4 linked regions of the Lepisosteus oculatus genome follow. The protein of the gene in region 2 interacts with the protein of the main gene of each other region in a biochemical or structural test. Links are inferred from orthologs where the notes say so. Each region holds a gene or a part of one and is shown on either strand. Other genes may lie near its edges.

Region 1 (7,534 bases), on a different chromosome or scaffold from region 2:
TCATGGGGATGATTGGGAACGAATGAGGGCAGCTATGAGCTGGACACCAGAAATCTCAACCCTGGACCTTGGGTGTCCCAGTCTGCCAGAGTCTATAGGTAAAAGGCCCGGACCAATTAAACTGGTGGTGTGTTCAATTCAGTCATTTTTTAGATCAGCTGGAACTTAAGTTAGGATATCCTTCACACTTAAAGGACGAGTTTTCCCTTCATTGAAACATGACTTGCTTGGTTGATCAGTGTTCCTCATCTTTATTTAACAGGGTGATTGAGCGTGAAGTGTCGCAGTAACTGGCCTGGGGATCTCCAGAGTTGGAGACCCCGGTATACATAAAAATGCATTATGATAAGAGCAGGAAAAACCCTGGCACATTGAAAATGTTGGAAAATCCAAAAACGGACTGGAAAGCAGCTGCTTGTCAGGGAATTGAGGAAAGGGAAAGAATTCAGACCTACAAATCGAAACAAGGAGGTCTACATTGAAATTGGCCTTCATGTGCGAAGGCGTGCATGCCTGAGCGTTAATGAAGGGCGAATTCCTGTTACCATACAGGTTAGAATGAGGTGCATGTTTCATAGGTGGTCTAGGAGCTACCCAAGGAGAACTGTGGGGTTTCCTGGCAGTCTACAGCAACTGTAACCTCAGCTCTTCAGCATGCCTCTAGCTCCAGCAAGACCCCTGCCTCCCCCTGGGGCTGTGGATCACCTACAGAGGCTCCCTGGCCTCTGAATTGTAGCTTTTACAAATAGTGTAGTGCACCACAACACACTGGTCTGTTTTTCCAATGCATCACCTCTTTCAGCTTTTGCTTAAGTCACAATTTCCATATGTATATTTTTTAGCTGGGCTCTTTAATTTCAGAGTGCCAGGGAAGAATAACAGCCTTAGGGAGGGAGAGAAAGTGAACAGGCACTGTTTTTCCTCTGTGGGTGCTGGGGCTTTGGTTTTCTTTGAATTTGGAAGAAATCTTCTGTCTGCATCAGTATCTTTTATTTTTTAATTTTAGAATATTTTCTTTTTCCATCCCCCGAGGTCGAATCTCTTCCCTGCAGGCACATGTAAAATTAAAAAAAGTGTGAATTACCTGACGTCCTGGCATCAGGCTCCCAGAAGCTGTTTTTTTCTCTTTATTACTTATTTTTGTAGGGGGTGAATGGGGGGGGCTGGTTTTCTGTTTGTTGTTCTCAATGGTTGGCAAATCTTTAGCATTCTTTGGAAACTTTTTTTTTAATGGTGTTAAAAACTGAAAGAGGCCACATATTAGTCTTTATCGTTTGTACAGTGAGAGCCTCGAGTTCTCTCAGCAATGGAAAGACCTGATAAGCCTCTCTCTCAGGATGTATACACATAGTACGTGGGTGTCCGTGTGTGAGCCGTGTGTGTGTGAGCCATGTGTGAGTGAGCCGTGTGTGAGTGAGCCGTGTGTGTGTGAGCCGTGTGTGTGTGAGCCGTGTGTGTGTGAGCCGTGTGTGTGTGAGCCGTGTGTGAGTGAGCCGTGTGTGAGTGAGCCGTGTGTGAGTGAGCCGTGTGTGAGTGAGCCGTGTGTGAGTGAGCCGTGTGTGTGTGTGTGTGTGTGGAGGGGCTCCATACGTGTCATAGATGTCTGCACGTGTGTGTGCGTGCCTATGAATCACTTCATTCTTTACAGAAATGGCAAATTCTCATACAGGAACCTTTATAATTTATGTAACACTGTTGCCATGCAACAGCGTGGACTTGATGCAGTACATAAAGACTTAATAAGGCAAAAGCGCGGGTAGGGCTGTGCATTGCCAAACGGAGAGAAAGAAGGCTTGGAAAAGACGATGGCAGCGCAGTAAATCCGGGGTGGGAAGGAGGGATAGGCATCTTGCGGAAATAACGAGGGCGTGACAGAGCTGTAGGCTCTGGGCCGTGTCACTGGGGGAGCAGGAACGAGGCCAACATGGAGACAGCGAGCTCGGTTGACCGGGCAGAGGGAAACTGCGTTTGACCCAAGCTGTCGTATCATTTTAAACTGTGCTTGCTGCCTTTGCCCTCTTCTGTTACGCGCTGGCCTCTGGCTGGGTAACCGTGCCACCCTCACCGCAGCGGTTGTGGAGTGGATCCGTTTTAACGGCTGCAAGTTCTCCTCTGAAGGCGGGGTGGGGGTAATCGGCATTTGGAAGGAAGGAAGTGGGAAGAATGGAAAAACGGGGAGATAAAGGGGAAAGACAGAGCAGGCTGTGGAGAGCAAAGGTTTTTCTCAAGTCAGCATTCGCTTTAATTCAACAGAATCGGTTGCAGCATGGGATCTTACATGGGTAAAATGCCCCCCAGCATACCACAGTGCATCGTTCTTAGGCAGGGATCTCCGATCTTGGTCCTTGAAAGCCTTCTTGTGCACAGATTTCTTTGCAACCATCATTTGACAACACCAATCAGCTCACGATTAGCTTAATGGGACCAATTTAGCAACAACCCTAGCTTTTTTAGCTACTAGTGCTTTAATTGCCCCCTAGAAAACTTTCAGACACAGCAGTCCTCCGAGACCAGGATTGTACAGCCTGAGGGGCAAGCAGGGAAAGTGACCAACCTCACTGCAGGTGCTTGCTGAGCTGGGAATAACTGTGGAAGAGCCGGAGAGCAGGAATGGGGAGCGGACTGGAGTTACAGACATTTTGGAGTGATTAGGAAGTTTGTAAGGGATAAGACTAAAAGGTTCTGCCTTGGCAAAACTGGGAATCCATTAGATATGGTCTGACAAAGTGTGTCCGTTTTGCAGTGCATTATCGGTGACCCATTATCTTCATGGGATTCAAGCTCCCAATAATAATAACCAGAGGAGAACTGGACATGATGAGTGAGGATTAGAGGTCACCAGATTTTGATCACTAATGATAATAATATAGTCTTCAATTTCATCAGACCTGCGGCTCGGTGAATCTTATAGTAATGTTGAGCCTGTGCTACAGTGTTCAGTTCAGAAGCTGTGTTATAGAATACTCTGTACACAGTAGCTAAGCAAGTAAGCTTCAGATAGAGAAAGCTGACTGCAAAGGGAGAGCTAGAGATGGGTTTGGGCAATTCCAGCGCTGCACGGTGTGTTAGGTATCCCTTTCGTTGGAACACCTCAGGAATGAACGACATTCAATCATAAAATCTTCGGTTGTGCTTAATGGGGGGGACAGTCTTTCCTGAGTGCACTGTCAGGAGAATGAAGTGTTTTGCGCGCTCATGGGCGTGCTGCAGTCGGTGGTGTAAACCTGAGTGGGCAGCAGGAGAACAGGCTGAGACGCTGAAGGTACACTTAAGGCTGCGATGAAAAGCTCTCTTCAGAAAGGGGTGGACGTCTTTGGAAAGGCTGCAGCACGTTGCTCGTGTAAGCAGGGTGAGGGGCTGATTTTACAGCAGATGAAAGCAAGTGTTTTGAGAGGTCACGAGTGTGGGCTGTTTTGGGACTGGCTCAAGTAATGGCCTCAATAGAACAGAATTCCCCACCTCCCCCCAGACAACACAGAGGAAAACTGCACTGTGAGATGCATGAACATGAACAATGTTCTGGGCTCGGGGTTCCAGACCCAGGGGGTCGTGGGTTCGAATCCCAGGTGAGACACCGCTGTTGTACCCTTGAGCGCTGTGCTTCAGTCGGATCCCTCCAGTAAAACACCCGGCTGCATGAATGAGCTCTCCCCAGCCCGTCATTGTAAGTAAGACTGTGTTCTCAAGCAGCGACGCAGCAAGTTAAATAAAGGATTAACAAAATGCCAAGAAAAAAGGATTCTGAATCGATTCTGTTACAGGGTTGAGTAGCTCTGGGGCTTCTGCAGACTTAGCAGAAAAAAAATGTAAATATTGTATTTTGAAAAGATGTTCTTCTGAATGGAAAATGCAGTAGCTGGAGGCCACATTGTGAGATGCGACTGGCAATGGTCCCCCTCTATTGCTGCTTCCCAATGCCTGTGTGGGCACGCGTGTGTTTGAGTGGGTGTATGAATGCGAGGGTCAGTGTGTCTGTGAGGATGCATGTATATATGTGTATGCATATGCTGTGCTGTGGCTGAACCCACTTTCCCAACTCTGTCACGCTTTGATACAGCAGCAGTCTTGACAGAGTAACAGCTCACAGCGCTGAGGTGTTGCTGAGGGGTTTGCATCTTGCAAACCCATGTTTATATACCGAGTCTGGGGAGGGTGCGTGTGTATGTGTGTAATCTGTTAGGTCTCTAAGAATATCTCACAGTTACTGTGCAAACCAATGAGAGAGAGAGAGGCAGGCACAGAGAGAGAGAGGGGAAGACGGAGCTGAGAGTAGTGCTGTCAGAGCAGAGAGAGCGAGAGTACAGCAGAGGAGAGGTGGAATTATTTGGGGAGCGGATTAAGGGATTCGTGAAGCAGCCGCAGTAGCAGGCGAACTCTGCGAAATTAATAAATGGACTGGAAGTCCTCAGGGCTGGGGATCTTCAGCAGGCAGGCGGTCTCGGGAAGTTCCCCTGTTTTTAAAAAACAAATCTGAGTCTGAACAGAAAACGGGCATCTGAAAAGGGTCTTGCTTTGGGGCTGGAGCCATGGGGACGGTGAGCGAACTATGTGCCTCCAGTTTCCAAGCTTTCCTCTGTCCGAGCATCCACGCACCCCAGCCAGGTGAGTACCGGCTCCCGAGACGGACCCTCCGGAGACTGGAAAACGTGTGATTTGCTTGCACGCCTCGTAGTTTTTCTGGCGCCTGTGTTGCGTTGTAATAGGCAGTTGTGAAGAAGATCCACAGTTAGGTCTCTGGCTCTGCCTCGCTTGCAGAAAACTGAAGTGAGCTGTTGTTTCAAAGAGTTCAAGGAGGTCTGTGGAAAGTTTTTATTTGTGACTGGCTTGTTGGGAAACCTTTTTAGTGATTTAAAGACTCACAGGTTATCTTCCCACAAGGCAGCAGCTGGGAACAAGCTGACATTATTCTTGCTTTAGATCAGAAAGTTTCTCATGATCGGTCTTCCAGATACCACGGAGTCATTTGCTTGACCCTCTCTGGTGTTTTATCTGTGAATCTGGATCTGTTACAGTGTGTGCTGTCGGTGCTTCTCTGAGGTGGAAAGATTGTACTTTCAGGTGGCAAAGAGTTTCCATATGGTGTGCTGCGTGAGGTCACTGCCGAGTGTTTCTCATGCAGACCTTCTCCGAGGCTCTCCAGAGGTTCTACATGCATTTGTGCTGCCTGGTTTTAGTTTTAATATGCGATATCCTCTTCTGAAGAGCTTGGTTCTGCTTTCACAGCGTTGCTCAGAATCGGTGGAAGTCAGTGGGCAGCCTCAGGCGTTGTCTGCTCGCAGGCTTAGTTGCGTTTACCCGACTGCCAGAAAAATCCAGCAAGTTGGTTATGCTGGTTTGGTTTAGTTCTCTTTCATTCACCTGTTGCTGAGCTGGTGACTGGTCTGTGATGGTCATGATGATTTATTATCTGTTATTGCATTTGTCTTGCATTCCCTGCTTAAAATCAGCAGGGGTTTAAAGGGTACTTAATTTGAAATGGCATCATTGTGTGTTTCTGTGGCTGATGTTTTTTGGTTTGGAGTGCATTTTAAGAAAGAGTCCCAGGTCTCTCTCTCTCTCCTCAACCCCTGTCCCTCCTGTAGCTCAGATGACCTGACAAATCAGGAATTCTGCCTTTCACAATTGACACGGAACGAGTATCTCAAAACAGGTCGTTATCGCCACGTTCCATCAGCCAGGCAAATCACCAGGAAGACATGGTGCTGGGAATAGAGAAGGTCTGATTCCAACACCCATTAGCCAGGAACTGCTGTGTGCCCATCCTCAGTGTCTTCTGGAGGTGTTGGTTTGACCATAGTGCTATCAATTTTGAAAAGAGACACTGAAGCGGTCTTTGTAGGGCTGATTGCTGTTCTGTGTTCATTAAGAATATGTACTGAATCTGAATGAAAAAATTTGTAGTTGCACAATGACGGGTTGCACTCGCAAGACACTTTTCCTGTCATTAATGTGGAACACGATAGCTGTGTTCTGTTTTTCTGCTGCGTCAGGTGTTGAGAAATCTGAGTTCTATGCCACCCTGCAAATTGAGGTTGTTTCAACACTGAAGACGCGCTCAATAGCAGCCAGACCCAGCCAGACAAGACCAGAGGGAGTTTCCCAGAATGCTGTGGGAGAGTTTAGTGCCCACTCTGTGTAGTTCCAGCCCCTTTGCTCCTCCTAAGCACCACCTGTCTTATAGCGCTTTCATTCTGAATGTGCAGATGATCTGGTGTTGCTGCACCCTTAAATCATAGTAATCAAGAAAAACCATCCCTAATCTAGTGGAGAAAAAAAGCTTGCACGTTTGTTACATTGCCTAGCAAATGGAACATTCAGGGGTTTGCAAAATGAAATGCTGAGCTTAATGTAAAAAGATTTGCAAGTGATGTTTTTCCAGTTAAGATACAGTCAACCGCAGTTCGTCGTCAGTTTTTGAGCAGACTCTCTGTAGCACAGCAGAAAAATCAGGCTGGAGGTTCTAGTGACGCAGAAGAGAGACTTTGTCGCTGACGTGTGTCTACGGCCAGCAGCTTTTGGAGTGTTTTAGCGTGAGTGCAGTTTGAGGAGCGGGGTGCTAGGTGGCAAGGGTGGGCCTGAGTGCCACAGTGGAGGAGGACGGGCTTTGATGTTCAGAGCCGTTATATAACTGCAGCTTTCGCCATGAATAATGGAGGGACTCCGGAGAGAGGGAGCCCTGGCCTCTGAGTGCTTTGACAAGGAGCTGCGTGACAACGGCGGGCGAAGTGGTGCTGGTTCCCAGCTTCGCTCCAGAGAAACTGTAACTCCTTCCTTCCCTGGGCTGAGCCGGGGACAGCGAGGGAACCTCAGCCGTGCTCCTAACCTCTGGGTTGGAAGCCCCAAGCCGTTAAAGGAAATTCCAGGTGTGAAGAAGCGCGACAGCCAAAACATTGGGGTTTTTCCTTCTTTTCAGCGAGCAAACAACCTTTACTTGTTGCTTTGTGGACTAGATTAGACCTGTTGGTACAGTAAAGGTCTGACATGAGCATGTGCCTTTTCCTTAGTGCTTCTCTGTGTGAAATTTGCCCCCAGTGGATTCTGCAGGGCAGGTTCCTGTATGGCCTTGGCTTCGCCCTACAAACACCTCACAATGACATTGCTTCACTGCACTTTGCCTTCACGCTGTCTTCTGTCTCCTGCTTTTACCGCGCCCTCTCTGTCCTTCATTTTCACACCCTATTCAGCTTTCACAAAACGATATCAACGTCCGCCATCACAGAAGGTTCATAAAATTAAATAAAGGGATTCATTGCATTTATATAGCTCTTTTCTGGAGACTCCACTCAAAGCGTTTCACAGTTAATGAGGACTGCCCTTAAAGGCCAATGGGAAATTTGGGCAGGACACCCTTAACACCCTTATTCTTTTCAAGAAACTCCCTGGGATTTTTAATGACCACCGAGAGTACGGGCTTCAGTTTTACATCTCATCCAAAGGACAGCACCTTTTCACAGTATAGTGTCCCCGTCACTATACTGGAGCATTAGGACCCACACAGACAGTCGGGTGAGCGCCCCCTGCTGGTCCCACTAAC
Region 2 (7,410 bases):
GCAGAAAACCGCTTGGTCAGGGGACATCAGCTTCTCATGGGTGTGATCTCTTGGAAGATTCAAGCCCGGTAATTAGTTCCAAGTCAAAAGCTGTCCGCTAACACTTATTTCTGTGTGTGTTCACCCCATTTTATTATCTGGCTTTCATTATAATAATAATAATTGCTTACACTTATATAGCGCTTTTCTGGACACTCCACTCAAAGCGCTTTACAGGTAATGGGGACTCCCCTCCACCACCACCAATGTGCAGCCCCACCTGGATGCCATAGTGCGCCAGAACACTCACCACACATCAGCTATCAGTGGGGAGGAGAGCAGAGTAATGTAGCCAGTTCATAGAGGGGGATTATGAGGAAGCCATGATTGGTAAGGGCCAATGGGAAATTTGGCCAGGACGCTGGGGTTACACCCCTACTTTTTTCGAGAAACGCCCTGGGATTTTTAATGACCACAGAGAGTCAGGACCTCGGTTTTACGTCTCATCTGAAGGACGGCACCTGTTTTACAGTATAGTGTCCCCGTCACTATACTGGGGCATTAGGACCCACATGGACCACAGGGTGAGTGCCCCCTGCTGGCCCCACTAACACCTCTTCCAGCAGCAACCTTAGTTTTTCCCAGGAGGTCTCCCCTCCAGGTACTGACCAGGCTCACACCTGCTTAGGTTCAGTGGGTTGCCAGTTGTGAGTTGCAGGGTGATATGGCTGCTGGCATATCATTGACAGTCATTATCTTATATTGTTAATTGATGTGTGGTTTAAATCTAATTCTTGAAAGGTGATGGCAGTAATCCCAAACACAAGGGGGCTTACCTCTTACAGAATGGTTCCGATATATAGAAACTGTAATTGATGTGCTTAGCCTGATTACAGATATTTGCTCAGATATTTAAGCAATAAATGGCAGTTTAGGAAAACTACGTTTTGTTTTTGTGTGATTATTCATTCTTAGTAAAAAAATCCTTTATTTAGTATTCACAGTATTTCACTACTGCACAGACAGAGCGTCCGAAACTAGGTAGGTTGATGGGTCTTTCGGATTTTCCAAGGTCTCTTATCTTGTGAAATGAACAATTCCTTGCGATGTCCACTTTACTCCACAAGGGGGCGCTATATCTCCGAAATGTATGCCAGACGCATCACAGTCCAATTGCCCAGAGAAGTTACACACGTCACTTGGCAAAAATGGCACATTTATGTCAGGTCTGGAAAGCTTCATTGAATGATTTTGAGAATAAAGAACCACTTCTTTAGACGACATTGTTTCAACGTACTTAATGCCATATCAGATTTAAAAGTGGTGGACAACTGTGCAGTCTTTGCAAGAGGCAAAACGATTGATTGTCTTGTGTGAGGGAAACAAAGGCCTTCTGTGGGCAGTTTGAGAAAAAAAACGAAACCAGGCTGCAAACAGATTGAGGAGAGCCGCGTGACCCCAGTGGTTTGACTACTGCAGGGGTCCAGGGCTCGATCCTTATGTTCTGGCTCGGGTGCTTCTCTATTCTGCTCCCTGAACTGGTCCTGGAAAAGCACGTGCACACACAGAGACCGAATACAATATAATGAAGTCCATCGAAAACACAAAAACACCTGTGGCCTAAATAAGAAATTTCCATGGCACTGTATTTGTCTTTCAAATTTGGTGACATTAAACAGAAATATGTTTCAATTCTCCTTTACTTTCAGTGTTTTCTGTTGCCCGAGTGTGAGATGCATGGCAGGCCTTGTGTTTGTTTTTAAAAATAATTATCTCAGTGGAAAGAAAGTCTAAGAAAGTGGAAAGAAAGACTAGTCTAGCTAAACGTCAGAGTGACTGCCTGAGTCATGCTGGCCTGCAGCACGGATTGGAAACTGTGAGTGGAAGTGATTGGATTCTGGAAATTAAGCAGCAAGCTGGAAAGGCATCAGGATTGACAGCTAGCGCCAATGTTCCTCAGGAACAGAGGACGGGGCACTTCCTGGCAAACAGCGCTCTGTCCACCTTTGGTACGTTCAAGGGACAATCCACTGCTGAAGACCAATGGAAACACAAAACAAGAGAGAAGAGCCTGGTGAGAAATGTTCTGGATATTCTGTACATTGAAGTAGTTCGAGTAGGGGGCTGTGTCAGCATGCGTAGGCTGCAAAGGAACAGGTAACGGGTTTATTCCCTGCTGGAAAGAGAAGAAAAACACAACGTTTCGGCTGTGGAGCCTTCTTCGGGTGTGAGAAAGACAGGGTAGACGGCAAAGATTAAAAAGCACAGGAGAACACAGGCTGGAAAAGTGGAGGAGGAGGGAGAGGGGAGAGGCAGAGAGGCCACTCAGGAGGTGCAAAGTGGAGAGGGGTGGAGAATGGTGTGAATAGAGAAGATAACACGAAAATAAGTGTATGAGCAGAAAACGGTGCAATTTAATACCTGACACTCCTTCAGATAACCAAAATCAGCGGTTCGTGGGGTATCATCACAGCCCTTTATTTTATTCACCGCCTGGAGTAAACAGAAATACCAGCCAGAGGACGCAGGTGGAAACTAGGTAACAGTGTCTTTAAAACCCCAAAACAGGAGGTGTTTCTTTACCAAGCCACACTGGTGAAGCCAATACCTTGACTCCTTTCACGAAAACAGCTGGACGAGATCCTGGGATCAATTAACGATCAACTACCAAATGAGCAAAATGGACCGATTGTGGTTTGCAATCCATTCTCAAGCTCAAACCATAATTCAGTCCATCAGATCCATGATTCTGCAGTTAGAAACTTGCCTTTGCGTGGTATTGTGCTCTGATGACATTTCTGTCCCATTCCTGCTTTGTGTTTGGAGTCAGCAGCTTATTTCGCACCTAGACATCCGTGTCAGGATGTGACAGGTTTCCTGCAACATCGCACACGCGTAAAAGAATGACCGCGCACAGGGACGAGCCTCCGCAGCTCATGAAAGACCTGAAGCGCACAATAGCGCACGTCAGCCACATTTTCACTGTCTAACGCTGGAAAGCTGTAAAGACTCGCCCTCGTCATACCCAGCACTGCTTGCATTGATCTCCACAATCGTTTATGTTATGTCGCGATATTTTACACGAGTGCTGTCGTTTAGCGTGAAACGGAAGAGGTTCAGATTGCGCCCAGCGAAACAAAAGGTGTCTGAATGTGAAGACGAGGGTGTGGCGGCCGGTTAATAGGAAATAAGCGCTGTGTGGTAAAGGCGTTTCAACTCATTGATGGTCTGTGGAAACGCCTCAGTACTGCGAAGCTCTTCGGTCTCCTCATTTCCTCATAAATTAAAGCCATTTTTTAATAAAAAACGTAGCCGGTGTCTGTCCTCTACATAAACTTAAGACACATTTGAAACGCTTGTTTTTTTATGAAACGTAAACAGTTGGTGCTTTATATTTATATGTTCAAGAAACTATGGAACGTATAGAAGCCCTTAATTCGCTAAATATTACTATTACCTTAGGGCCATTTCAGACTTCCTGTTAAGTTATACATACTGTATATACACTGTATTACGTTATTCTAAAACGTAATACTGCTTGTCTTCACTCCTTTTTATGGAAACTTTAAGAACCATTTATTGCTGAGCACAGTTGTTCCGGGGTTTGGCGTTTGTAGACTCAAACATGAAAACATTACATTTTGAAAAGGACGCTTGAAACACGGTGAAGTATTTTTCCCCCCTACACTCTGTAGTTGTGTGTCATGGTATACGTTCAATTCGGTAGATCTATCCGCAGTTTTAATTCACCCACCACCCAAGCAAAATAAAGCGAAGTCGTGAATGTAGACATTTGTAAATGCAGGTCTTAGAAACTACTATTGCAACGAGTGCGCGGAAAATGGGCTGGTAACAGAACAGAGCTGGGGCTTTCTTAAAAAGGCTGCTTAGGTGGAGTTGGCCCTAAAATAATCAAGGTAAGGATTATAGCTTTAGCGGTGCAGTATTGCGACACAGGCATACGTGTAATTAATAGCTCTCACTTTTATCAGGATGAAGACAGGAAGGGGTTATTTTAGACAAGCCCCCCTTTCGGTAGCTAAAAGTGTTTCCAGAGCCAAGTTAAAATAACATACAAACCCCCCCTCCGAAGCGCGATTCAAACACCGGGCGGAAGAGACTTCACCTCCCTTCCACGCTCTCGCACGAACTATTTTTACACGGGGGGTGATAATATAGCGAGGGGGCGGTGTCCCTGTCAGCACGCACGGGCAGCGCCCTCCCTCGAGAGTAGCCGAGCCCCCTGTCAGTTAAGCGTGCAGCTCGTGGCCTGTCTGCGGCATTATTTGAAATCCCTCACAGTACCCACTGAGTGACGCCTACGTCATAACGCACCACCTCTTTCTTTTTTCACATTTGAGCGCTGGCTGTCGACTCACACCCTCGTCCACCGAGCGCCTCTCCTTTACTGCCGCCAAAGGCAATAACCCCCTTCGTTGCGTTTTTTCATTCAAGAGAATCGTTGCACATGAAAGATCCGGTTGGGGGGTGACACATCCCGAAACTGCGCTGGCGGGCGGCCGCCATCTTGGCTCCCGCTGCCGTGCGCCGCAATGAGGGACGCCGAGCACGCGTTTGGAGCCCCAATGGCGTCAGTTTCCTGAGCCTCTGAGCCCCGTCAAAGGCGGTGCGTGGTAACTACTCTGCGCATGCCAATGGGCGGAAATGGGGAAAAAAAAGTGCCTGAAAGTAAGCGAGCGAGAGGAAGTGGCGGGTGATCGGGTCCGCACCTTTTCCGGTAGCCGAGAGCCGCTCGGAGCTGAGAGAGAGAGAGGCGAGAGCGGGGTGGATCAATCCGGGGATCGGGGGGCCGCAGAGCAGGTAACAAAAAAGACGCCAGACACCGGCGGGACCGGCTGAGAGAACCGCGTCTCAGAAATGCCGGCGCCGCTTTTGTTCAGCATTGAGCGGAAAACGTAACCACGCTAGCGGCGGCTGCGCTTAAAGTTGTGTTTTTTTTCCCCTCCCCTGACACCCCTCCCTTTTCTCAACCGCTCTTGTGTTACAGGGAGAAGAGAAGAGGAAGCTCTCGAATGAATCAATGACCTTTGGAGTCGCCTCGGCTCAGGCTCTTCCGTCTCCGACAGAAGTGTGGCGGACCCGGGCGGACCAGGCTGAAGCGCGGAGCCGGTGAAATTGCGAGCTGCCCACCCGGTTCAGAAAGGAGGGGAGGCGGCGGCGGCGGAGGAGAAGGAGGAGGAGGAGGAGGGGAGAGAGAGAGAAACGGGCGAGCGGAGACCTCGACACGGGCACGCCAGGAGGAAGTCTGTGAACTAGCTCCCGCAGGCTTCTGCGAAGGCCTGCTCGGGCAGCCGCGCCGATCCTCAGCCAGCTCACTTCTGGAAGTTGAGAGAGGGGCCGGGAGAGCAACACCCACCCCCCCCAGCCGGACCCGTCTGTGTTGTAGGCCCTCGCCTTAGAGAGGAAGAAGGCAAGCCGAGGGACTGGAGAACCGCATTACACGGACCCGTAAGTGGATCCCGGTGTGCTCTTGATGTGGACTTGAAATAACCGGCCTCCCCACACCCTCTTTGTCAACCTCTTTCCGGCACCTGGATTCCTCGCCACTCCCGGTGTCTTTTAACTGTGACCTCGGCCTCCCTTTTGGCGTCCCGGCTCGGTTCAAGGCAAAACCTTTTACTGACTGAAAGGGATATCTGACAGCCCGGGAGGAGGGGGGACGGACCGACCGACGGGACAGCTTTGTTGTTATGGATTCTTTTCGGATGTTGTCTAGAAGTTGCACAGCCGGCTTTTAGTGTTGGGGGAGCAGTAATCTCGCACGGACGGATTGCCGCTTTGCAGAGACACCGTCTGCGTCTACAGCCCAGCGATTGAATGGTTTCTAACTTCAGCCTGTCCTGATGTACTGTCCTTTGCTCCCCACCGGATATTGACCAGTGCGTGACCAGTTGGCTGCTTGGGCTGAAAGTCGGGAACTGTTCGGTAAAAAGAAATACAAAATCAGAACATCTTATTTATTAGGTCTCAAGTGCACAACGGGGGTCCAGGTGACTTATTGAATTTCTCAGAGGAACTGGATATTTATGCGCTGTTTACACGATGGGGAAGATGCTATCCAAGATATTTGGCAACAAGGAGATGAGAATATTGATGCTTGGACTTGACGCCGCGGGGAAGACCACCATACTTTACAAACTGAAACTGGGGCAGTCCGTCACCACCATCCCCACCGTAGGCTTTAACGTGGAAACCGTGACCTACAAGAACGTGAAATTCAACGTGTGGGACGTCGGGGGACAGGACAAGATTCGCCCCCTGTGGAGGCACTACTACACGGGCACGCAGGGGTTAATCTTCGTGGTGGACTGTGCGGACAGAGACCGCATAGACGAGGCCAGGCAAGAGCTCCACCGCATCATTAATGACCGGGAGATGAGGGACGCCATTATCTTGATTTTTGCCAATAAGCAAGACCTGCCTGATGCCATGAAGCCGCATGAGATCCAGGAGAAACTGGGCTTAACCCGCATCCGAGATAGGAATTGGTATGTGCAGCCGTCCTGCGCGACTACAGGTGACGGACTGTACGAGGGGCTGACTTGGCTAACTTCTAATTACAAATCTTAATGGTCGAATGATGACTGGTTAGAACAAGCAAAAAAAATAAAATAATACAAAATTTACACGAGAAGAAGCAATTAACAAATAACATGGCTTCTCGGAAGAATATAATAAAAAAGTTTGATTATAATTCATTTTCTTTTGATTATTATATGACCCCCGTATAACTAATCATTTTTTTTCTTAAAGTAATTATTTGGCTGGCTTTAATTTTGCTTTTGCGCTGTCCTTGGATCACGTTCTTTATTGATTACCGTGACTCAAGAAATACTCCCGTGAGAGACTTTTTAAAAGAAAAAGCAGACTACATGAATTGCCTCAAGCTCTTGAATTTTCTTAGTTTTATTGTATTATTTCCTTTGGCGGGGCGGGGATTTTTTTTTTCTGTTTTACTTCTCATTTTTGCCTCTCTGAACCTGCTTGATGTAGACTTTGCTTCTTTTACATTCATACCGAACATGTGTGCGATGTTCAGGCCTGAAGTTTCTAATAGTAAATATATATAAAAATTGTTTGAAAAAAAAAACAATACGGCGTGTCTCTAAATTTTATACTGTTTCTTTGAGAAGGAATTAAGCCCAGAGCTTACAGATTTAAGATTGCCGAGAGAGCCACCAGGTGTTTAGCAGCACCGTTCTGTTACAACTATGTGAAGTATTACTGTAGGTATAGATGCTGAACGAGGTACAAGTATACTACAGCAAAGTGCTCAAAACACTTCTATATATATGTATTCCTTTGTAAATGAGCGTCCCAAGCATTGGTGACCTGCAATGCTGTTTTGAAGGACCCCCCCGCCGCACACGGGTTTTAAAAGTCAGGCTTGAAGTTGTTACCACGGGTAAC
Region 3 (7,935 bases), on a different chromosome or scaffold from region 2:
TCTAACAAGGGTCACTGTGCTTTCATTTGTTTACTGATACACAATACAACAGAAACTTTCCACAGGCAGAAAGAACCAAGAGTTATGACTGTACCTTAGGCTGTAAGTTGGATTCCTTAAAAATTTAAAAGAAGCTTGCAAATAGCTTCTAAGGATCTCAACATAAACGTGCGAGAACATGGGGTTAGTACTATGTGAAAAAGATTGGGAAAGTATTTGAATAATGAACAATTTAATTGTCTTAGACCTTTCCAAAAAAACACTATTGAAACTATTGGAAAAATGTATTTCATCAAACCGTTTAAGCCAAGGATAAGCAACTCTGGTCCTTAAAGGTTGATGAAGTAAACTTTACAAGCAATATTTCATTTCGGTGACATTGTATAGTCTAATTAAGCCAACGTGTTTTTTTCAAAGACCGGACTACAAAATGTTTCAACGAAAGAGAGTGCAAGTTTAAAGATAAAGGTTCTTATGTGTGGGAAGATGAATGGGTTGTTGGCTACGCAGGTCAGAAAAGCCTGTCTGCACCTCCTCCTTCTTGCCAACTGGATACAGGTGGTGCTGCCTTGAATTTGTTGTTTATATGATCAAAACTTGGTTTAGCGTTTGATTTAGTTATTTTTCAGATCAGAATCTGGAGATCTAAGATGTTTTTTAGAGCTACTCTTTTATATGCTGTGCCATGGGATTGTTTAGAAATTCTGGTTTGAAGGTTGACTGCCTGCTGTTGGAGTGCCAGCACTATGTACAGTAGCAACCTGGTTTTCCCAGTATTGACAAGGCCCAGCCTTGTTTAGCTTCTGAGATCAAACACGATCAGACAGCAAGACGATAGCAGTGCTGTATAATAGACAGCAGACTAGGCACTTTTATCATGTTCAGAAGTGGTGCATGATTTGAAATTGTTGCTTAGGGTCATAGAGGAATGTAATCTTTTCAGAAACGAGAAGCTGTTTCTTCACTAAAATTAAGAGTTTGATACAGTACTTCAAAGGGATGAGTGATGTTGATAAGGTGTTTAAATGAAATAAGATGTGTGCTTGTGATCTAACCAAACACACTTTGTCTCTTTAGGAAGACAACACTTTAGGAATCAACACAAAAAAGCTTCCCTTCCATTCTTGGAATAAATGTCAGCATTTGCCTTCTTGACTGTTGTTGAGAGAACCAGAGTTCAACAGCCACATGACTTGGAGGGAAAGGGAAGTATCGGCATTTTCACATTGTTTCTGTCATGCCATCTGACTGGGAGCAGCATTGTGGGAAGACTCAAGTCACTCTGCAGCGCTGCTCTGTATTAGAGAAACGGCCCCGTGCATGAAGATTTTATTAGTCTTCAATAAGACAAGCTTCCAGTTGTTGAACCTGAGCTGTGAGTCACTTTGTCAGCACTTGAGCACATAATTTTTCACAACAAGTTTGTGCTCCCCAGTAGCCAGCCTACGCCCACGCAGTCCGTCGTGACAGACTTGCAAACAGTGAAGCCTACTTGCAGGAGTGTCTAGGTGCCGATACTGTAAGAAAAAAGGGTATTGCTTTGCCCAGTCCTTCAAAATCATTAATTTATTCTGTGGCTGGTAAAGGAGCTGTAACGAACAGTTCTTTCCGGACCCTATGCGGACGACACAGTCCGACGGAGTGGGGAAACACTGGGGAAACGTCATGCAGGAATACGGGGCAGAAGACAGGGGGGCGTGTCCAAGGTGCGCTGGTGCACGGGGGAGGTGTGGCCGAGGCGAACAATCCAAAAGAGAAGTCCTTAGGGAATATCCAAAAACACACGAGAAAGTCCAAAACCACGAGATCCATCAAAACACGAAGTTAAAACCACGAAGTCCGGGTCAGAACCGGCGGACAGGGAACGGGACCAGGCGCTTCCAGGTCCCGGACTCGCACGATATGGAAATCAGATGCAGAGCCCGGATGAGCGTCAGCGCCTGGCTTTTAAGGTGGGCTGGGAATAGGGAGCAGGTGCATAGAATAAAGTCTCACGTGAAAGGGCTGGAGCACCCTTAAGGAGGGGGGACTATAATCGTGACAGGAGCACTAAGGTGATACATACAAATCATATGAATCACAGGTGAAATATTGTAGGTGTTTTTTGTGTTGCTTTTTTACTACGGTTACGGCGCTTTTCATTTGCCCTGTGCTACATCTAAGGGTATCAAAAGAAGACAAGTGTAGAAAGAGAGGTCCTAAAGTTGTATTCATGTGGAAGTCAGTTTCTGAGACAATAGATCATTGGAAGAAAACACATAACTGAGATGTTTACTTAAGCTTTTCTCTTGGTTAACATTTTTCACATCTTAAAGGAAACTCCTCTTATATTTTCTTCTTATATTTTTAGCTTCTCATTATCAAAAATAGCACATCAGTTTTACTATGTACAATATCTTTACTGTCCAGTTCATTTCTAGTACTGTATGGTGTTGTGCCTAAAATTGTATTATTGCTGTACATCTCCATTTATGGTTGTAAGGGTCCCTGGAATTCATATAATTTTTAAATGGAAAGAATTTCGCAGTGGTTTACAATGGATGCTGGAGTTTTTCCTAAAATCTCATAATAGTGAAATCTCCCTGATCGAAACTATTTTTGCACTCCAGTGTGCTAAATAAGGAGCACCTACTGTACAGGGCAGAAGATTTAGCTGAAGAAAATGTTTCCCAAGCGCGGTGGAATCAAATAATGTTGGAGCTTTTTCAGGATGAGTGTAAACTGATATCATTTTAATTTCTGCTCTTGCTCATACAATGGGGTAAACTGTTTGCTTCAGATCAGATTCATGAGACCCTTGTCCTAATTGCAGATTTCCATCTTTTTTCTATTCTAGACAAATATTTTCCTGTCAGAGGCCTGCTTCCATGCTTGACAGCCTAGAAATGGCAATCAGGCCTGTAATTATAATGTAATGAATTAAGATCATGATAATTAGATGTTAATATGGGATGACAGCCTGCAAAAGATATGACATGGAGCTGATGCACAAGAAATGTTAAACTGAGCAATAACTTAACAATAACAATAAAACGAAAAACGAAGACTTCAGTGATCCTTCAGGCTCTCTTCAGTGATTGATGCTGCCAGACGGAGACTCTTATTTTCTCTTGCAACCTCGAGAATAGTTTTTTAATATTATCGTTTTGAAATCTGTTTATCATATTTTTTACTTAAATGTGCTCATTTCTACCTATTGCCCATTGATTATAACCTATTACCCATCCTAAGTAAACTTGTATTGCTTCTTAAATAGAAAAACAGCAAGGGAATATTCCCCCAAAACTCCATTTCACTATAAATTAAATATCTTTGCAGCGGTACATCTTACACAGGTGGAATACTGCATGTGCTTGAAGTTTCTGGAAGCCGGGAGCGGTACACATCTCTACATTAGCTTTAATTTAAGCCGTGAACCAGGCTTCTACTATATAAACCTCCAGAGATGTTACAAAAAATTTGAGGGGACATCATGGCAGATGGAAATGGACTCTTTTTCCAGAGGCGAGAAAGCATTAACACGGACACATTTCCACACTACCCAGGAATCGCCCTGCTTATCTGTTCCTGCACCCTGCATGGAAATACCACCTTAAACAGAATCAGTGTGCTCTGATGGGGTGACATATCTGTGTAACTATGCAGAATAACTCCACAGATTTGATTGACTATACCAGTGGTTAGTACACCTCTGTAGAAAATGTTCTATTTTATAGGAATTAAAGCTCATTATTTGGTTCATCCTCTGAGTTAGATAGCGGAGGCAGTGTGGGGACGCCCTTTGTCTGAATTATTCTTTCTCCACAGCCAAGGTTTTTTTCTTGGATAATGAAAACAATGAGAACAGCTCAGTAAAGGCCTGGACCATTATCAAGTACATAATGGCCACTGTGTCAGATATTGATGCGTTTGCACACAGACACACTTTATACTGCAGAGATAAAAACACATTGCTATATAGAATCAGCGAAAGGTAATTTCACTGTTCGTCAGATAAGCTGACATATAGAGGAGCAAAAAATAAAAGACCTTAAACAAAAGAATAAAAGTGATTAATACAATATATATAATATGTTGTATGCACACACATACTGTATAACATATTAATAATGTAGCAGTTAGTCAGTTGGTCTGGTTTCTGCTTTGGTTTGGTTTCATTAAGTATTATTAATAAACTAAATCTCTTCAGAAGTCAATTTAACCATTTCACTGAACTGTCGCCAGGTACTGTATGTTGATGTTTTTTTTTTATTTCATTAAAGCAATTGTAGGTTTGCCTTCAAATTACAGTGAGGCTTGGGCTTGTGCATACAGTAAGTTCTTGAATTTGTTTAATATGTGTGATTTTTTTTTAAAGGAGAATAAAAGCTATTATCTCAAACCCTCTAGTTTAATAAATGTATCATCTCAGTGGTAAAAGGCTACATTATATTTATATTATATATTATACATAAGTATTGAAAACAATGCTTTTGAGTATACAGTACAAATAGGAAAAATCATATGCTATATCAGTATTTCCCAGATAATATCCTATGGTACAGTTTATTTTAGCTGTTGTTCATATCAGCAGTAACATGTATTCTAAATAAATATAATATCACAGCCGGGTTTGAAAATAGTGACTTGTATTACAGTCATTCCACTGGCGTTGCATTACATTATACTTGTTCAAAAGAGTTAAAAGGATTTGATTAAAAAAAAATACAGCTAGACTGAACCAAGACAAAAAGTGTCATGCATTCGCAACTTGGGCATTAGGTAAGATCTCGGTCTGACCTCGCTTCCGCCTGGACTAACCACGCGTGCGGCCGAACGGTAGCCTTGAGGGTCTCCGGCATGACATTTTCTAGACGAAATAAGTTTCACTTAACTATACTTAGATAATTCTGGTAAAAACAGGTGTACGATACGCAAACTATTCGCTCGCCATACACGAATGTTCGTTATTGTGATTCACGTTTCCTCAACGAGACGAATCAATCGAGTGAAGACGGCAAAACGTTCAATGCGACACTGTAGTCGTTAAGCAATCATTAATGCACAAACTCGCTTTTTGATCCTTCGATGTCGGCTCTTCCTATCATTGTGAAGCAGAATTCACCAAGCGTGGGATTGTTCACCCACTGATGGGGAACGTGAGCTGGGATAAGACCGTCGTGAGACAGGTTAGTTTTACCCTTAAAACAGACAGTATGTTGGCCCCCTATTAATGAATTGTTTGGATTTGAAGTCAGACAACTGTATTGAGCCGACTTTCTAAAAATTTCCAAATCACATTAGACTTAATAATAATAAACTGGATGTGCCTACAGTATTACATAAGCAATGCATGCTTTTGTCTGTTTAAAAGTTTCAATAACATATGCATTATTATATTCTCAGCTGTGAATGCAAATGTGACCCACAGTAAATACATAACTACGTGTGGTCATGTTGCTATTTTATTAGTTTTCCATTATTAATCCTCTGTTTTTTAATTGCCAGTTCACTCGAACTGATTTGATATGATGTGTTGAGAAATTAAAATCAGTGTTACTGTTTTAGTGTTTTCATTTTCCATTAATTATTTCACCGTTGGTGAGATGTTTGCTTATACAGGTAAATATGGAAAACATTTTGATGTCACCCTCTAGTTTTACTGCTTAATCAACTACTATAATCGGATTGTGATAATTCAGTACAATATGAGAGTATTTTGCCAATATGCTTACTGACCATTTACTGTGTGTCTTGATGCTTTTTACTGTGCAAAAATCGACTACTGTACTGTATATAGTACTGCATGTGACCAGCAGCCTAAGCTCTCATCAACTAAACTGTTAATATATAATATTTCCTCTAGGAGTTACTCAGAAATATTATCCTGATTGTCAGATTTGCCATGTGTCTTTTTATTTTCAGTTTAGCTTCATGCATGATTATTCCTCATGTCAGTAATTATTCCTATGAATACATTGTGCATTGGTGGTATGTTGTTTGGTCATTTGGTCGAAATGTGTTAGGGAGGAAGTGTACCCCTGCAAAGTAATACAATACACAATAGATGTGTTGTACTGCATTCATTTAATGTAAAAATCTAGTTCCTAGCAACAGTATGTAATGTAGAAGAATGTTGTCATACCGTTGGAAATGAAATGAAAAGTAGGTCACAAGTGAATCACACTTTCCCGCAATGTTTTTTTTAGATATTTTTGGATATGCCAAAGATTAGCACATTGAACACACCCTCCCATCGCTCAGAGCATTGACGTTGATGCTCAAGAGACACTCCAGTTTGCTCAGTGTGTTAAAAGAATAGTAGGCACATCAGTGGTGACATATATCATATATATATATTTCATATATTTCATCCATTATATCCCACACATTAAAATTAATTAATATTATGACAAATATGCACTACTTATTACATGTGAGGAAGCAGACATGTGTAAATTGCCCTTTTACAGTGACACATTGAGGCATACAGCTGTTTCATTGCTTTGGGTTTTTTTTTTATTCATTTGTACTGATTTACTAGATTAGATTAACCAGTTTTATAGGCAGCTGTTTCCAAATCAAAGGGTTATCAAAAGCCATGTATTTCTTCTTTATCTGTATAGGCACTGGTATTTTAATTTATCTTCATATGGTCATTAAAATTGGGTACAATTGCAAAGAGCATAGCAGAGGTACTTGAAGTGCTCAGCTAGCCCACAGCTTCAAAAACACTCATCAAACACACGTGTAAAAAGACAGCATTTAACTCCAGTGATACAAAAGCTCTTTGTGCATCACGTGCTTTAGTTCTGTACAGGATGAGTGTGTGTTCTAGGTGGCATGTGTAGCTAGAAAATGAATAGACAATCTCATAAGAACTGTTTCTTCAAATTCTGTACATAAAAAAGCAGGTGCAGTAGTGTACAGGCTTGGAAAAAGAGGCAGTTCTTTATGCAAAGAAGTGGTGCTGGGGTGGAAGGCATTGTCAAAGTGTGAACGTGTGACAGCTGACTCACTGTGTCCCGCCAGAGGCGCCTGGGGGAAATACACAGGCTGCGCACGATGCTCTAAATGACTCCTGACTGCTGTTAATGGTATACCCATGCAGTAATTGTAGAACAGCACAAGACCGAAAATGATTAAAAATGTATTTTGTGGCGAAACTGTAAAAGTACTAGCAAATAAATCGACGGAACAGTCAAAATTGCAGTACACTTTGAATGCCAGGCGTCCCTACCAAGGTCATAAGCTAATGGGTTTCTTTCTGAAAAAAAAAAAAACACGGAGCTGAATAATCAGTCATGGGGTCTGTATCAGCAGTCCATAGGACCGGAAAGCAACTTTTACTTTCTGGCGTTGTCTAAGGGTCCCGACTGATAAGAGGCATCTTGAAAACGAATCTGACAGCGGTGTGCATACAAGACTTGAAGATATAGCTCATAATATAAAAACACTTCCAACTGCGAAAATTTAAATGAGCAATTTAATCTGCAGATTTAATCAATTTAAATGTAAATCTGCAAATCTACAGGCAGTTGGAAAAAGCCATGTTTTAGGATTTGTTCAATACTCTTTTGAGACCTTCATTAAGAAGATGCTTTTGTGCATAGAAATTAAGTTTTACAACACCTGTAGTATGTAGGTACATTTATAAAGGTTATTGATATCAATTGTAAAGTATGCATAGGCATTTGTACAGATCTGTGGAGCGGGGGCCATGATGGTGAAACACAGAAGTTTTATAGAAACAATCAGAGATTTCACTGAAGTGATGGCAGTGCTTTGTATAATTCTTCGCCAAACACCAGCAAACCAAAAGGATACAGAATTACATTATGTTCTTAATAATGGAATTAAAATAATTAGTAAACAGTCAAATGCATGTTTTCTATTTTATGTTCCAAGACAGATGCAGTTCATTTACAGGTACACTGATTCTCTTGTAAAGTGCTG
Region 4 (8,223 bases), on a different chromosome or scaffold from region 2:
GGAGGGACCGGCCCCGAGGCTGTGTGGAACGCCGGGAAGAGGGGGACACCCGATGACTCTTTGGGGCGCCTGCCTGGACGCGCGGACACTTGAGCGACTCGGGAACGCCGATTGGCATCTGAACGATCCCCGGAGGAGAGGAATTCCGGAAGGAGCCGAGGGATCCGGAAATCCCGGAGGATCTGCGTCTGCTGCTTTCCTGGGCTGTACCGCGGGTTTGGGCAGATCCATGAAAAACATCCGCCCGTCCCTCCGGCGCTGAGCCATTCCTGGGATCCGAGAACTTCCCACCGGGGGAGGAGTCCAGTTCTCTGTCTCTTGTCATTGCCCACCAGCTGGAGGTCAGAGGTCGAGGGTCAAGGGCTGCCTGCGTTCCGGGGCGCGGCTGAGCTCGGGGGGTGACTCCTGGGGGTCACTGCACTGCCCCCCCGAAATCCGCCAAGGGAGCGAAGCTCTAGAAGAATCGTTGAGCATCGTGGGACTCATTCTTACGGATCAAGTCTGATCCGCCCCAGGAGCGGTTCCCGGTATTCCCGGGACAGCGCTGGGGGCTTCTTGCCGAGGAGGAGGAGCTCCTGGGAACCCGTGCCCCACCCTGTGCAGAGCGCAGGTCTCCTCCAGAGGACACGTTCCCAGGATTCCCAGGGGAGATTCCTGAAGAGCCTGGAGACACTCGGGGTGTACAGCCTGGACCCAGGGGACCCCTTCTCAAACTCGAACCCCAGTTTAAAAGCAGCGGTTCCGGTTCTTCTCGGGTGGTTCTTCTCGGGTCTGTCTGTCCTGCTCTGCCAGGCGGGGTGAGGTCGGGATCAATCGGGGCCGAGCTGTAACCAGATCGATCGGGGCGATCGGTACAGCCCTCTGGCCCGGGGGGGTGCGAGACAGCGCGGCTCTCGGGGGGGAACTCTGGGAGATTCTCCACCCGCTGTAGCGCCCTCGTCTGGACACGAGTGGTACTGCTGAGGAGACTCCGAGGGCTCGTGCGTCGGGCGGGGCAGGGGGGCGAGCGGTGTGCGCTGCGCTGTGATCGATCTGCGCGGGGTAACAGAGGGAAGTCGTGAGAGAAGCTCGACCCCGGGGCCGGGCATGGGGGCCGCGCGGGTCAAGCGGCGCTTCAGCGCGGTGGTGGACGGGCCCCTGGAGGAGGAGGAGGTGATGAGGCTGGCGCAGAGCGCGGCGGAGCCGGGCGGCGGCACGCCCACCAGCCCCCCGGCCCGCAATGGCAAGGCCCCGCCTCCCGGGGGCGGGGCGGCGGGGCCGGGGGCGGGGCCGGGGGCGGGCCGCCGCCGCCGCCCGCGCAGCCGCTTCGTGGGCAAGGACGGCCGCTGCAACGTGACCTTCGTCAACATGAGCGAGCGCGGCCAGCGCTACCTGACCGACCTCTTCACCACCTGCGTGGACATCCGCTGGCGCTGGATGTTCGTGGTCTTCTCGCTGTCCTTCCTGCTGTCCTGGCTGCTGTTCGGCTTCTCCTTCTGGCTGATCGCCTCGGCGCATGGTGACCTGGCCCCCCCGGCGCCCCCGGCCCCCGCCGCCACCCCGCCCGAGCCCTGCTTCCTGCAGGTCAACAGCTTCATGGCGGCCTTCCTGTTCTCCCTGGAGACGCAGACCTCCATCGGCTACGGCTTCCGCAGCGTGACGGAGGCCTGCCCCCTGGCGGTGCTGGCCGTCGTGCTGCAGTGCATCGTTGGCTGCATCATCGACGCCTTCATCATCGGGGCGGTCATGGCCAAGATCGCCAAGCCCAAGAAGCGCAACGAGACGCTGGTGTTCTCCGACTGCGCGGTGGTGGCGCTGCGCGATGCCCAGCTCTGCCTCATGTGGCGCGTCGGCAACCTGCGCAAGAGCCACCTGGTGGAGGCGCACGTCCGCGCGCAGCTGCTCAGGGTGAGAGGCAGGGGGCGCCATTATGAGAGAGACGGGGAGAGACGGGGAGAGAGACAGGGAGAGATGGGGAGAGAGAGAGACAGGGGGAGAGAGACAGGAGAGCGTCACTCAGCCAGGCTGTGACATCTGGACTGCAGGCTGTTCCCTGTAATCAGCTTTTGTTGTTTTCTCAGGATTTCTGAGGTTTATGGAGGATTAATTTAGTGGCTTTGAAAAGTAAATCATAACCCCATCACTCTCAATAACTATTTCCTGTGAGTGTCTACTTCACAATCAAGTCTACTGTAGTGTCCAGTCAGTCAGTGTCTCTGTGCTGTAGTGTCCAGTCAGTCAGTCAGTGTCTCTGTGCTGTAGTGTCCAGTCAGTCAGTCAGGGTCAATGTGCTGTAGTGTCCAGTCAGTCAGTCAGTGTCTCTGTGCTGTAGTGTCCAGTCAGTCAGGGTCTCTGTGCTGTAGTGTCCAGTCAGCCAGTCAGTGTCTCTGTGCTGTAGTGTCCAGTCAGTCAGTGTCACTGTGCTGTAGTGTCCAGTCAGTCAGTCAGGGTCACTGTGCTGTAGTGTCCAGTCAGTCAGAGGGTCAGTATTAATCCATGTCCTCGTCTCTCATTAGCCTCGGGTGACCCCAGAGGGGGAGTACCTGCCCCTGGACCATGTGGACATCAATGTGGGCTTTGACAACGGCACTGACCGCATCTTCCTGGTGTCGCCGGTCACCATTGTGCACGAGATCGACGAGGACAGTCCGCTGTACGAGATGGACCGCCGTGCGCTGCAGGACGACACCGAGCTGGAGATCGTGGTCATCCTGGAGGGCATGGTGGAGGCCACTGCGATGACCACTCAGTGCCGCAGCTCCTACCTGGCCTCGGAGATCCTCTGGGGACATCGATTCGAACCCGTGCTCTTCGAGAAGAAGAGCTGCTACCAGGTATGAGAGAGAGCTACTGCCCTGTAGTGCTGTAGTGTCCAGTCAGTTAGTCAAGGTTACAGTGCTGTAGTGTCCAGTCAGTCAGTCAGGGTCACTGTGCTGTAGTGTCCAGTCAGTCAGTCAGTGTCTCTATGCTGTAGTGTCCAGTCAGTCAGGGTCACTGTGCTGTAGTGTCCAGTCAGTCAGTTAGTGTCTCTGTGCTGTAGTGTCCAGGTGGTCAATGTCCAGTCCTCTCTCTCGCAGGTGGACTACTCTTATTTCCATCGCACCTATGAGATTCCCAGTACGCCCAACTGCAGCGCCAAGGAGCTGGCTGAGAGGAAGTTCATTCTGAGCACCAGGGCCTCCTTCTGCTACGAGAATGAGGTGGCGCTGCTGAGCCATGGGGCTCTGGAGCAGGGCTCCACCACCGAGACCTCCCCCGATACTGCCCCCCGCACTGCCCGGGACCACTGAGGGAGAGGAGAGAGAGGGCAGAGAGGGGAGAGGGGAGAGGGCAGAGAGGGCAGAGAGGGCAGAGAGGGGAGAGGAGAGAGAGGGCAGAGAGGGGAGAGGGGAGAGGGGAGAGGGGAGAGGGGAGAGGGGAGAGGGGAGAGAGGGGAGAGGGGAGAGAGGGGAGAGGGCGGAGAGGGGAGAGGGCAGAGAGGGGAGAGAGGGCAGAGAGGGGAGAGAGGGCAGAGAGGGGAGAGGGGAGAGAGGGGAGAGGGGAGAGAGGGCAGAGGGCAGAGGGCAGAGAGGGGAGAGGGCAGAGAGGGGAGAGAGGGGAGAGAGGGGAGAGAGGGCAGAGGGGAGAGGGCAGAGAGGGCAGAGGGCAGAGGGCAGAGAGGGGAGAGGGCAGAGAGGAGGGAGAGGGAGAGGGAGAGAGAGGGGAGAGGGAGAGAGAGGGGAGAGGGGCAGCAGTGCGGGGAGGAGACGGGAGACGGGAGACCGGAGACAGGAGACACCAGCACTCAGCTTATTGGACTTGGCGATCGAACCCGAGCTGCACTGACCTGCTGGAGGAGCCAGGGAGAGGCGCCCCCTTGTGGAGACTCTGGGCAGCACAATCGCTACTCAGATGTCAAATCCAAATAAAACTCCAGTTCTCAACACTCTGTATTCTCCTCTCTTCTTACTAACACATTCCTTCCCCTGACCCCTAACCCACTGAGCAGGACTGGACTGGACTGAGCCCTGTCCCCTGAGCTGGACTGGACTGGACTGGACTGAGCTCTGTCCTCTGAGCAGGACTGGACTGGACTGAGCACTGTCCTCTCAGCAGGACTGGACTGGACTGGCCCTGTCGTCTGAGGAGGACTGGACTGGACTGAGCCCTGTCCTCTGAGCAGGACTGGACTGGACTGAGCCCTGTCCCCTGAGCAGGACTGGACTGGACTGGACTGAGCCCTGTCCCCTGAGCAGGACTGGACTGGACTGGACTGAGCCCTGTCCTCTGAGCAGGACTGGACTGGACTGGACTGAGCCCTGTCCTCTGAGCAGGACTGGACTGGACTGAGCCCTGTCCTCTCAGCAGGACTGGACTGGACTGGCCCTGTCCTCTGAGGAGGACTGGACTGGACTGAGCCCTGTCCTCTGAGCAGGACTGGACTGGACTGGCTCTGTCCTCTGAGCAGGACTGGACTGGACTGAGCCCTGTCCCCCAAGCTGGACTGGACTGGACTGGACTGAGCCCTGTCCCCCAAGCTGGACTGGATTGGACTGGACTGAGCCCTGTGCCCTGAGCTGGACTGGACTGGACTGGACTGGACTGGACTGAACCCCGTCCCCTGAGCAGAACTGGACTGGACTGAGCCCTGTGCCCTGAGCTGGACTGGACTGGACTGAGCCCTGTCCTCTGAGCAGGTAGACTGCTGTGTTTATTATTACATGGCGTCTTGCAGTTTGGAGACGACCTCCTTCTTCCTGAACTGTAATTTCTCGAGTGTCCCACTCGATGGTGACATTGTTCAATTATTTAATTTTTAGATATTTAATGATTTAGTTTGCATTAACTGTATTTAGATGTGTCTGTTTTGTAAAATATCTGTAAGTGCCTGTAGATTTTTTTGTTAATTTTATTTGTATTGCTTTGGCAACACCGATTTATTCATTGGTCATGCCAATAAAAAAGCATCTTGAATAGAACTGAATGGAAATGGAATTAATTCAATCGGGTTGAATTACAAAGCAACGCCGCCATCGTGTGGTGGTTTCTAGGAAAGACGCCTCCACTCCCTGCGGAGCCGACATGGCGGCAGTTTCCTGCTCTCCAATGGGAAAAGGAGGAAACTCGGGAATGTCCCTTCCCAAGATGGCCGCCGCCCCTCGCCATTCCGAGACGGAACGCGGGACTCCTCTTCCGTCTTCCTTTGTCTGAGGCGACGGAGCTGCTGTTGTGCTGCGTGTCGATGGTGTTGGTTTTTCTGTGAGAGCAGCGGTTTCCCGTCGGGAGCAGCCAGTCCGGCCTGTGGATGAGATTCGAGCCCGTGGGGTATCTGCAGGAGCCGCTGATCATGGACGAGATGGACTTCAGTAAGTGACCAGTCCGGCCTGCTGGCTCTGAGCACAAGCAGGCTACCATCGGTCACAGCAGAGGCAGGACCGACACAACCCTCTCGGGTCGTCTCTGGGCTGCTGGGTTATATAAGCAAACACGGTGGATACGACTGGGAGATCTGGTCTGTGTGTCTTTGCGTGTCTGCGAGTGTATCTCTGCCCCTCTGAGTGTCTTTGGGTGTCTGCAAGTGTATGTCTATATGTCCCGCTGTCCTGTCTATTTGAAATTTGTGTCTGTGAGGGAGGGAGACATCATCATCATCATCGATACCGTGTCTGTCTGGTCTTTCCGGTCCTGAGGAATACTGGGAATGTTGCACATGTGAGGAATGTCACTCTGATGCCCTGGAGACAAGAGTCAGGAGTGAGAGAGGTGTGAGTCTGCAGTGACTGACTGTAGTGTCCAGTCAGTCAGTGTCTCTGTGCTGTAGTGTCCAGTCAGTCAGTGTCTCTGTGCTGTAGTGTCCAGTCAGTCAGTCAGGGTCACTGTGCTGTAGTGTCCAGTCAGTCAGTGTCTCTGTGCTGTAGTGTCCAGTCAGTCAGTCAGTGTCTCTGTGCTGTAGTGTCCAGTCAGTCAGTCAGGGTCACTGTGCTGTAGTGTCCAGTCAGTCAGTCAGTGTCTCTGTGCTGTAGTGTCCAGTCAGTCAGTCAGGGTCACTGTGCTGTAGTGTCCAGTCAGTCAGTCAGTCAGGGTCACTGTGCTATAGTGTCCAGTCAGTCAGTCAGTCAGGGTCACTGTGCTGTAGTGTCCAGTCAGTCAGTGTCTCTGTGCTGTAGTGTCCAGTCAGTCAGGGTCACTGTGCTGTAGTGTCCAGTCAGTCAGTCAGGGTCACTGTGCTGTAGTGTCCAGTCAGTCAGTCAGGGTCACTGTGCTGTAGTGTCCAGTCGGTCAGTCAGGGTCACTGTGCTGTAGTGTCCAGTCGGTCAGTCAGTGTCTCTGTGCTGTAGTGTCCAGTCGGTCAGTCAGGGTCACTGTGCTGTAGTGTCCAGTCAGTCAGGGTCACTGTGCTGTAGTGTCCAGTCAGTCAGTCAGTGTCTCTGTGCTGTAGTGTCCAGTCAGTCAGGGTCACTGTGCTGTAGTGTCCAGTCAGTCAGTCAGTGTCTCTGTGCTGTAGTGTCCAGTCAGTCAGGGTCACTGTGCTGTAGTGTCCAGTCAGTCAGTCAGGGTCACTGTGCTGTAGTGTCCAGTCAGTCAGTCAGGGTCACTGTGCTATAGTGTCCAGTCAGTCAGTCAGTCAGTCAGTGTCTCTGTGCTGTAGTGTCCAGTCAGTCAGTCAGTGTCTCTGTGCTGTAGTGTCCAGTCAGTCAGTCAGGGTCACTGTGCTGTAGTGTCCAGTCAGTCAGTCAGGGTCACTGTGCTGTAGTGTCCAGTCAGTCAGTCAGTCAGTCAGTCAGTCAGTCAGTGTCTCTGTGCTGTAGTGTCCAGTCAGTCAGTCAGGGTCACTGTGCTGTAGTGTCCAGTCAGTCAGTCAGGGTCACTGTGCTGTAGTGTCCAGTCAGTCAGTCAGGGTCACTGTGCTGTAGTGTCCAGTCAGTCAGTCAGTGTCTCTGTGTTGTAGTGTCCAGTCAGTCAGGGTCACTGTGCTGTAGTGTCCAGTCAGTTAGTCAGTGTTTCTGTGCTGTAGTGTCCAGTCAGTCAGTCAGTGTCTCTGTGCTGTAGTGTCCAGTCAGTCAGGGTCACTGTGCTGTAGTGTCCAGTCAGTCAGTCAGGGTCACTGTGCTGTAGTGTCCAGTCAGTCAGTCAGGGTCACTGTGCTGTAGTGTCCAGTCAGTCAGTCAGGGTCACTGTGCTATAGTGTCCAGTCAGTCAGTCAGTCAGTCAGTGTCTCTGTGCTGTAGTGTCCAGTCAGTCAGTCAGGGTCACTGTGCTGTAGTGTCCAGTCAGTCAGTCAGGGTCACTGTGCTGTAGTGTCCAGTCAGTCAGTCAGTCAGTCAGTGTCTCTGTGCTGTAGTGTCCAGTCAGTCAGTCAGGGTCACTGTGCTGTAGTGTCCAGTCAGTCAGTCAGGGTCACTGTGCTATAGTGTCCAGTCAGTCAGTCAGTCAGTCAGTGTCTCTGTGCTGTAGTGTCCAGTCAGTCAGTCAGTGTCTCTGTGCTGTAGTGTCCAGTCAGTCAGTCAGGGTCACTGTGCTGTAGTGTCCAGTCAGTCAGTCAGGGTCACTGTGCTGTAGTGTCCAGTCAGTCAGTCAGTCAGTCAGTCAGTGTCTCTGTGCTGTAGTGTCCAGTCAGTCAGTCAGGGTCACTGTGCTGTAGTGTCCAGTCAGTCAGTCAGGGTCACTGTGCTGTAGTGTCCAGTCAGTCAGTCAGTGTCTCTGTGTTGTAGTGTCCAGTCAGTCAGGGTCACTGTGCTGTAGTGTCCAGTCAGTTAGTCAGTGTTTCTGTGCTGTAGTGTCCAGTCAGTCAGTCAGTGTCTCTGTGCTGTAGTGTCCAGTCAGTCAGGGTCACTGTGCTGTAGTGTCCAGTCAGTCAGTCAGGGTCACTGTGCTGTAGTGTCCAGTCGGTCAGTCAGGGTCACTGTGCTGTAGTGTCCAGTCGGTCAGTCAGTGTCTCTGTGCTGTAGTGTCCAGTCGGTCAGTCAGGGTCACTGTGCTGTAGTGTCCAGTCGGTCAGTCAGGGTCACTGTGCTGTAGTGTCCAGTCAGTCAGTCAGGGTCACTGTGCTGTAGTGTCCAGTCAGTCAGGGTCACTGTGCTGTAGTGTCCAGTCAGTCAGTCAGTGTCTCTGTGCTGTAGTGTCCAGTCAGTCAGGGTCACTGTGCTGTAGTGTCCAGTCAGTCAGTCAGTGTCTCTGTGCTGTAGTGTCCAGTCAGTCAGGGTCACTGTGCTGTAGTGTCCAGTCAGTCAGTCAGGGTCACTGTGCTGTAGTGTCCAGTCAGTC

Evidence for each region.
Region 1: the proteins of arf6a (region 2) and cytohesin-1 form a complex in vitro, tested with the Homo sapiens proteins (2 studies listed by BioGRID and IntAct, with this or other methods). The link is inferred for Lepisosteus oculatus from reciprocal best matches to the Homo sapiens genes ARF6 and CYTH1.
Region 3: the proteins of arf6a (region 2) and 5-hydroxytryptamine receptor 2A form a complex in vitro, tested with the Homo sapiens proteins (2 studies listed by BioGRID). The link is inferred for Lepisosteus oculatus from reciprocal best matches to the Homo sapiens genes ARF6 and HTR2A.
Region 4: the proteins of arf6a (region 2) and cyth2 form a complex in vitro, tested with the Homo sapiens proteins (3 studies listed by BioGRID and IntAct, with this or other methods). The link is inferred for Lepisosteus oculatus from reciprocal best matches to the Homo sapiens genes ARF6 and CYTH2.

Annotation. Positions count from the first base shown.
Region 1 is NC_090704.1:41,342,121-41,349,654, forward strand, and holds the start of cytohesin-1, read left to right. Parts: upstream 1-4,283; 5' UTR 4,284-4,526; coding exon 4,527-4,602; intron 4,603-7,534. UniProt on the Homo sapiens protein: Promotes guanine-nucleotide exchange on ARF1, ARF5 and ARF6. Promotes the activation of ARF factors through replacement of GDP with GTP.
Region 2 is NC_090703.1:10,289,693-10,297,102, reverse strand, and holds the start of arf6a (ADP-ribosylation factor 6a), read left to right. Parts: upstream 1-4,354; 5' UTR 4,355-4,800; intron 4,801-4,987; 5' UTR 4,988-6,042; coding exon 6,043-6,570; 3' UTR 6,571-7,410. UniProt on the Homo sapiens protein: GTP-binding protein involved in protein trafficking that regulates endocytic recycling and cytoskeleton remodeling. GTP-bound form plays an important role in the transport of multiple palmitoylated proteins form the Golgi to the plasma membrane.
Region 3 is NC_090710.1:30,783,225-30,791,159, forward strand, and holds the start of 5-hydroxytryptamine receptor 2A, read left to right. Parts: upstream 1-4,832; 5' UTR 4,833-5,168; intron 5,169-7,935. UniProt on the Homo sapiens protein: G-protein coupled receptor for 5-hydroxytryptamine (serotonin).
Region 4 is NC_090718.1:355,846-364,068, reverse strand, and holds the start of cyth2 (cytohesin-2), read left to right. Parts: upstream 1-5,125; 5' UTR 5,126-5,263; coding exon 5,264-5,324; intron 5,325-8,223. Other genes in the region: kcnj14 (ATP-sensitive inward rectifier potassium channel 14), read left to right, coding at 1,087-1,887, 2,496-2,813, 3,057-3,269. UniProt on the Homo sapiens protein: Acts as a guanine-nucleotide exchange factor (GEF). Promotes guanine-nucleotide exchange on ARF1, ARF3 and ARF6. Activates ARF factors through replacement of GDP with GTP.